Linked DNA regions of Bombyx mori. The main gene of each other region encodes a partner of the protein of the gene in region 2 in a complex. Links are inferred from orthologs where the notes say so. Each region holds a gene or a part of one and is shown on either strand. Other genes may lie near its edges.

Region 1 (4,228 bases), on a different chromosome or scaffold from region 2:
TATAGAAAAAAGAAAAAGACGCCAGCTGAGTTTCTTGCCAGTTCCTCTCAGGACGGAGGCTAGTTTTTGTTAATTGGTGGTAGTTCTTTTTGACGTTCAACAAGTATGTACTTTCATTTATGTTGAATAAAAAATTTTTTTTTTGGTTTTTGTTAATAGTATAAGTCCCTTTATGGGCAATTTTATCAAAATTTTAAAAATATCCTGATTTATGTTCCAAAGTATGAGACAGCTCACAAAACAGAACAAGTTTAGAGAATTCCTGAAGTTGTACTTTAACTTTGCACGAAAATTTTAATTCACGTAATTCTTGCTGGTCATCATGTGGGCATCTTGTGATGCCTACACAACCCTCTGCTTATTCCGGTTTGAAAAACGATACAGCCGTTATAAAATAAAATTGAGATTAAGACCTCGTATTTCAAGGTACTGTTAATTACTATGTCTTGAAGCTCTATCACCCATTCATACAATTAGAAATATATATTCACCTAAACTCTTTAAGTTCTCTTTCTCTGTCTCGACTGCTTCTTCCAACAGCTCTTCCTGGGTCGGCATCTTCTCTTCTACTTTCTTCGGTTTCTTCTTTTTCAGCTCTGACCTGATTTTTATCCTTTGTATTGTCTCGGCAGATTTCATAGCTGTACTTTGTCTTATAGACTTCCGTTCTTCAGTTAAAAAATAGGACTACATTTATTTACATATTATATTATATATACATTTTAGTTGTGAATTCTTTACAGTTCAAACTATTTACATTTTTACTATTTATTCATTTACTATTTTCTTGCAATTGATTCGATTTCAGTTTCTTAGCCAGGTTCATAAAGACTTAAGATATTTATTTTGTATGGTGAGGTTTGAGAGATTTAGCTATGAATCAAATTTCCTTTCTCATACAACACTACTCTTACTACAAAACTTACTGTTACTTAAGCAAAACTTATTGTTTTATTTATTTATAATGACACCAAATAAAGTATATCATTAAAAGAAAAGTTTAAAATTACCTATTGAGGTATCAACAATTTTGTCCACGGCACTTTTGTTTTGTTTTTCAACTTTGTCTTCTATAGATTTATCATCTTTGGATTTTTTGATGACTGTCTTTTTTGATTTTTCATTTAATTTCTTCTTATTGGGGTCCTGAAATATCATTATTGCATTGAGATTTTTATTTGAAATAATGTCTGGGCAGTTCATATTTATAAATATATCTACGCTATTCTATTTCAATGTTTTACAATTTCTGCCTATTTCATACAAGTGTAATATTAGTTTCAATTATAAGATGTGTAGTGCAAAAGGTTACTCAGTTTTATTATTATGACATACAAAACGATTATTGAAAGAATAAACCAAACATACCTGATAATGCTAATCAATAATCATTACAAAATAATATAGGGGACATATCCTGGATGGTGCCTACCACTGAGGATAACTCTATAAAACTCATTGAAGAATATTTTAATTATACCTTATAAGCTTTAGTGCCAACTTTTCTTTTAGCTTTTTCTTCAACTTCCTGGTCAGACACTGGTTCATCATTCTCATCAATATCAAAATCTGAATCAACTTCATCATCAACTTCCTTTTCTTGTCTAAAATGTTAAAAATTTCAAAGTTAACCACTGAACATTTTAATGCAAGGGTCAAGTAAATTCATTAACTATTTTATTAGGCTATAATATATACTTTATACTATATATTAACAACTTTTTCCCTACCTATTCACATGTTCTACTTTTCTTCTATTTTTATTATTCTATTCACATCTGCCTAAGAACTATGCAAATGGATGAATTTGATTCAAGCCCTACTACACTCCACCAGAGGGTAATAGGAAAGAAGAAAGAAAAAATTCACTTGTAAGTTAAGAGTCTATTCCAGCTTCTCGCAGACTAGTAGATAAGCTCACAGGCTCAACCTTAAAGAATTTACTAACACTAACTCTGGCAAGAGTAATACTTTGCAGATTCTACCACCAGATTGGAATCGCAAACCACTAAGAATATCCAAAATATATCAAATATTTATTTGGTGCCAGTAAATTTGCTTGTTTCCGTAGCTTATTTTTTCTCTATAGGATTAACTTTGTTAATGTAACTCTGCCATTATTATTTTAACATTTTTTTATGATTTAATCATAGTTTTATAGGATATTATGGATCAAAAAAATTGAACAAATGTTTATATACAATATGTTAGACGGAGGCAATGAGACAGCAGCTAACATTTTGCTGGAATGTGCTGAATTTGCAGACTACTTGACAAAATATCTTACGACCTTATGATTAACAACAAGAAGTGATTGATTGCCTTACTGGAAAAGCATGATTCTCAGAAGTGAGAGTTTCCGCTATATGTCGAAGCCCTTTGTCTTGTACTTTCAGAGACTAGCTAGATAGCAGCGGAAAAAATCTAAGTAACTCATCAGCCCACATTTCTACTCGCAAGTACCTTTCAGGGAGTGTCGTTTAGGCTCGGTTCTCCGAAACCAAAAGCTTAATAGATTCAACGTATATTCTATGAATACTATGATATTACATACTGATATTCTACGTCCTCTTCAACATCATTAAACCCTCCGTATGTTGTTTTGTAAAAATCATCCTCTTCCTCCTCGTCAAGGAGTTTAGCCATACGATTTCCAGCGTTTGATCTTCGTGCCCGTTGAGCCATTTTGTAAAACAGCTCGAATTTTGTTAATATAGAATTTTAAGGAATCAGTTTCAGTCAAGAAGTTCATAAATGTTGTTAATAAAAACAAAATTTTGTTTGTTACTATTAAAAATCAAAATTTGACATTCACAGTATGTTTACTCGATTTCTCTGATAGTATTGTTAAAGGGAACAACAATCATACAGCCAAACTTATAAAAAGACAGTGACAAATTTAGATTTAACTGTGGTGGATTGAAGATGTATCTACAGCACTGAAGTCTATGATCTACAGCCACTGTCAGTCTTATATACATTAGTAGGTACACATACCTATTTAAATAGTATATGGTAGATATATAGATACAAAGCCCGCTAAAACTAACACGTAGAATTATTATTTTATTATTTTAACCGCAAATGTTGTAGGTAACATAATTAATTAGACTTAAATACAAGCTACGTAGTACGTAATCGCGTTTTTTAATTATGCATCAGCATGTACGACAGGTCCTCAAAAATCTTTAAAGATATTTTACCAATTTGTATTTGCTTTTTATTGAGTTTGTATTGAAACAATACACACAAAAAAAATTTTTTTTCGTAGCCTTTCTCATAATCGTAGGAAATAATATGTATTTGCCTAAGAAGTTCCTGTTCGTGAGAACTGGCCATTTGAAATGCAATTTTTGTATGACTGGCAATAAATACTAATTTAAATAAATAGATAATATTTTGAAATTCAGTCAATTGTTTATTCCCTAATGTTTTATTTTTACTATTTGTATCTTTTCAATAATGTAGATACCGTAAAAATATGAGTAATTATGGAATAAAAGATCCATCGCGGTGGCACTGCCGCCCAAACGGCTCACAACATTTAAAACTGAATACACAACTCGTTATTGGTTTAAACGAGTCAGCCATCGAAATTTTGATCTAAAAAAAATATATTCATCTCTCTCTCCCTCTCGTCATTACCCGAAAACTAAAATCAATAACGACAAAGTAGACAAAGGCAATAGTGGAAGCTGACGTGAAGCGTCTTTCAACGTTGTAGCCCAAGAGCCCGTGGACTCTACCTGTATGTATTTGACCAGACCTGAATTTTCGTACATTGAGACCCCTATACCTACCATGCATGAGGTGGGGACTCACTAAGCTCAAAGTGGTCGACGCGCCGAGCGCTCAGGTAGGACAGGTACCGATTTTGACGGATTTTAAATCCATTTGACCACGTCTACCGTTTTGAAATTTTGAAAATATATGATTATTATTATCGGAAAATAAGAATGGCATACCATTACCGCGCATTTTACTTTGTGGCAGACCACTTTGAAAATGCTAAAAAAATAAAATTTTAAAAGTAATTGACCAGATCTGCCATTGATATAATAATATGTTGTTTATTGTAGTCTTAAAAACTTATATTGATCACGGCAGACCTCTACATTGCGTACACACATCAACATATAATAAAATCTTAGCTACTACCCGGCCAGATGTATATTATGTTTTCCGTTCACTGTTTTAGAGGAATATAATTTACTTGCGATTTACTTTA
Region 2 (4,213 bases):
CCAGAGCTCAAGCAGACGCTCATCAGACGTTGAAGGATTACGGATCTCCGATAATTCATCCTGTGGTACAAAGGTAAAGAAAGATATATTACTAGCTTATATTTATGAGTCAAAGTGAAGTCGTCGTGGCCTAAAGGATAAGAGGTCCGGTGCATTCGTATGTAGCGATGCACTGGTGTGTAAAAATAAGACTTTGACTTAAAACTCTCATTACTAGGCTATAAAACCTTTTAAAAGTTGATGTTGATGTTGACACCGAACTGTCACTAAATGGTCAGATATTAGCCAATACTTAACAACTCTGACAGCACTTAAAGTTTTATAAAAAGCTTGAGATTTATAAAAAAAAAAAAGTGCGTGCGTACAAAGTACACATGTCAGAAGTGAAACTTTTTTGGCGAACTAATTTATAAGTCTTACTTATATTTATGCAAATCTAAAACTTTAGATTTCCAAGACTTAGAAGAAGGGAAAAAGGAAGATATGTTCCCGCCAAAAGTCTGTCAAATGTCAATCTCAAACCTCAGTGTTGACATTCACATTATGCTTAGATTTCTAAATTGTAGATGACTAATATTTTGCCAATTGAATTGACTAATTTAATTTCATGCTATGTTCCAAATTCTTTTCATTTCATTTCAATTCCTATTAACATTTTTCACAAAAAAATAAAATATTAGGCTGTATGATATGATACATTTGCCTTTCCAGTTGGAAAAATACAACAACTACTACTACTGACATTTGACAAGTACTTAATTTTAATAGTAGTTTGATGTCCTTCCGTTGCATACCTGCGTGACGTTCTGTAAAAATTTTACCCTCATAAAGAAGAAAGAAAGAAGTTTCACTTGAAAATTAAATACCTTCATTACTTCATGTTGTTGACTCATTTCAGCAATATTCTTCTGGATCTCGGCTATCCGATCTTGGGTTAAACGTTTCAATATACTCTCCTGTGGAGTTTCCACGCCACCGTCAGAGTTTCTCTTTTTTCGTTTCGGCGTTTCCACATGTTCTAATAGCGTTCCATATTGTGCAGCACAGCTGATGGATGGAAATGTGTTAATGACATACGGATAACGGAGCCCACAGTTCTTGTAGATCTAAATCTCATTATCATTCAGCTATCCAATGCTTCAGAGGAAGACATGACATCTACGCAGTTTGATATGGATTGAATAAGCTCATAAACAATATAACTATTTAAAATAATAGAATGAATATAATTAATTAGAGCTTTAGTGTCTTTCAAATAAGTTATTTGTAATTTTGTTAATTTTTTTATGAATAGGATTAATTTACTGGGGATTTAAGGAGCAATCTGCAAAATTTAAATTTTTTCATAGATTTTAAATAAAGAAGGTACATACTTAGTTAGACTCTTTTTATATGCCATTATATCAGAACTCTTTCCAAAGTGTAATTACATTAAATGATTTTATTTTAAAGCTAGTGCTATTTTATTATTTATTTTATTTATTTATTTATGTACACACAGAAAACAAGACACAGTACAGAGTAATAGGAAAATTATGTACAAAGGCACTACTTATTTCTTTGAGAAATCTCTTCCAGCAGACCTGCGAGAGGATAATGAGAATAATAATAAAATGTGATAAGTGTGTGTAGAACAAACTTATTGCTATATATGCTACTTATTTTAGTTTATTTGATAATATATTTTTATAAATTATTTATAATATTGAATATTCAATTGGCTTTTGACAATGATCTCATTTTATTTTGTTTAACTCGGTGTTATTGTTTTGTCAAAATGTTGTATTAACATTTCTTTTGAACATTTAATTATTGGGGCCACCCGCCATATAATATAAGAGCTGTGTTTAACCAATCCTAATGTTGTCAAAGTTATAGAGGGTGTCTTTTAGCGAGTGGAAAGACTTAAAGAGCGGACAGTTCACGTGGTATCGACATGTTATGCGTAGAGAGGAGATGCATGAGACTAGGAGATTTATGGAAATTGTAGTGCAAGGTAGAGGGGGAAAACTTGACCAAAGAAGACATGGATGGAGTGTGTGAATGACGATATGAGAGAGAGAGGAGTGTGTGTTGACCTATTATAGCCTACTAAATACTATAATAGCTCTACTGAATATAATTTTAAGTTTTATCGAGTTCAAATAACGTGGAAAGCGTGGTGGAATTTTCATTGGTGAATAATGCAAAAATGGTTTGAAAATAAAAAATAAATGTGTAAAAACGAATGTGTTTCTCATCAACTCAGCCACCACTTCACTATCGCAAGCTATTTCAAACCTGTATCAATAATTATATAGTAGATATAAAAGAAAAACAAAACCTTTTTTGGGAATACCAGTCCGGAGGCCTGTTTGGCTCGCCAAGGGTCTTTAGAGCGCGGGAAACCGACATCCAGTTCTGATCCCCGCTTCTGACCACGGCGGAGGCCAGGCATAGCTGTTCACGTATATTCCAAGTGTCCAGAGGAACTCTTTTGAGCTGAAGACGCTCTTGTATCGAGCTCATTTTGAGGTTATGTTTTGGAAATGGAGTTTCGAGATTACATAACTATTTATAGTTGTTTAATTGTCCATGTAATGTGTATTTACTGTTTTGAAAGTATATTATTTTTATTTTATTATTTAACTGTTTAGAACACAATTAATAAGTGTTTATTCTATGATACAAACGTCAAACATGATACAAAACAAATATATTTTTTTTAAAGTATTTAATGACCTGGTTATCAAGACCTTCGGGTCAAGTCTTATTTTAATTGTAATGAAAACTTTTTTATATGTAAAATTATAATATTTTATTTCATATTATAATTTTACATATAAATGAAGTTGATTAATATAAAACATGGCATGAAATGAAATCAAATGAAATGAAAACGAAATGGAATGAAAAAGAAATCAATTAAGATGAGATGATATAGGAAGAAAATATATAATCTCATTAAAATGGTTGTCATTTCATTGTAGACTTTTTCAGTGAAATTTTTGGAGGATCCCGAGAAGTTACGTTCAGCGGCTTGTTAGTTGGCGTGTTCAATTATTATTATTTCTTTTATTTATTGCTTAGATGGGGGAATGAGCTCACAGCTCACCTGGCGTTAAGTGGTTACTGGAGCCCATACAAGGTAAATGCGCCACCCACCTTGAGATATAGGTTCTAAGGTCTCAGTATAGTTATCTCGAATATATTAAGTGTATAAATCTATGATAGTTAGACTCTAATACACTTTTTAAATAAGATAGATCTATGACATATTTTTTGAAGTCGTCGTGGCCTAACGGATATGACGTCCGGTGCATTCGTGTTGAGCAATGCACCGGTGTTCGAATCCCGCAGGCGGGTACCAATTTTTCTAATGAAATACGTACTCAACAAATGTTCACGATTGATTTCCACGGTGAAGGAATAACATCGTGTAATAAAAATGAAACCCGCAAAATTATAATCTGTGTAATTACTGGTGGTAGGACCTCTTGTGAGTCCGCGCGGGTAGGCACCACCACCCTGCCTATTTCTGCCGTGAAGTAGTAATGCGTTTCGGTTTGAAGGGTGGGGTAGCCGTTGTAACTATACTTGAGACCTTAGAACTTATATCTCAAGGTGGGTGGCGCATTTACGTTGTGGATGTCTATGGGCTCCAGTAACCACTTGATACCAGGTGGGCTGTGAGCTCGTCCACCCATCTAAGATATAAAAAAATAAAAAAATATTTCCACTATTTTCCACAATCCACTGAGTTGTCTATGTCGTGGGGCGTTAGGGATGATAATCGCGTGCCAAGTGAGCCTTAGAATCGCCTACCGATTCGACACAATTAAAAATCTAATCTTTTAAAGTCCTTATAGGTTATTATTCCCAGTATGCGTTTAGGGTCATGTTTGTCATTTAGGCCTGAAACGAGTCACACGAAATTAATTATCAGCATTCAAACGACTTTTTAATTATTTTTAAGGAATTCCGGAAAATAAAATAATATCTCACATTAATTTCTCTCAAATTTTAGATACATATATTTTGTGTGTAACTTGAAACTTAGTTTTTCTTTAGTTAATTTTATGAGCTATGTCCCGCCGAGTTTCCCCTCTGCCTCTCGTAAATAAACTTCAACACGGTGTCAATGTCATCAGATTTTGACATTCGTCCTTTAGGCCTCATGACGTCTTCGGACAAATATGGCGCCGACATCATGCACGGTTCGCGACTGGCTAAC

Evidence for each region. Proteins that work in one complex are often made in the same cells at the same time.
Region 1: bromodomain-containing protein 8 (region 2) and vacuolar protein sorting-associated protein 72 homolog share a complex: the UniProt entries of both Homo sapiens proteins name them as parts of the nuA4-related complex. The link is inferred for Bombyx mori from reciprocal best matches to the Homo sapiens genes BRD8 and VPS72.

What each region holds. Positions count from the first base shown.
Region 1 is NC_085112.1:12,270,664-12,274,891, reverse strand, and holds the start of vacuolar protein sorting-associated protein 72 homolog, read right to left. Parts: upstream 2,842-4,228; 5' UTR 2,686-2,841; coding exon 2,555-2,685; intron 1,605-2,554; coding exon 1,481-1,604; intron 1,147-1,480; coding exon 1,011-1,146; intron 669-1,010; coding exon 492-668; intron 1-491. UniProt on the Homo sapiens protein: Deposition-and-exchange histone chaperone specific for H2AZ1, specifically chaperones H2AZ1 and deposits it into nucleosomes.
Region 2 is NC_085117.1:1,939,464-1,943,676, forward strand, and holds the start of bromodomain-containing protein 8, read right to left. Parts: upstream 2,861-4,213; 5' UTR 2,509-2,860; coding exon 2,324-2,508; intron 1,048-2,323; coding exon 867-1,047; intron 61-866; coding exon 1-60. Other genes in the region: uncharacterized protein LOC101740762, read right to left, coding at 4,057-4,213. UniProt on the Homo sapiens protein: May act as a coactivator during transcriptional activation by hormone-activated nuclear receptors (NR). Isoform 2 stimulates transcriptional activation by AR/DHTR, ESR1/NR3A1, RXRA/NR2B1 and THRB/ERBA2.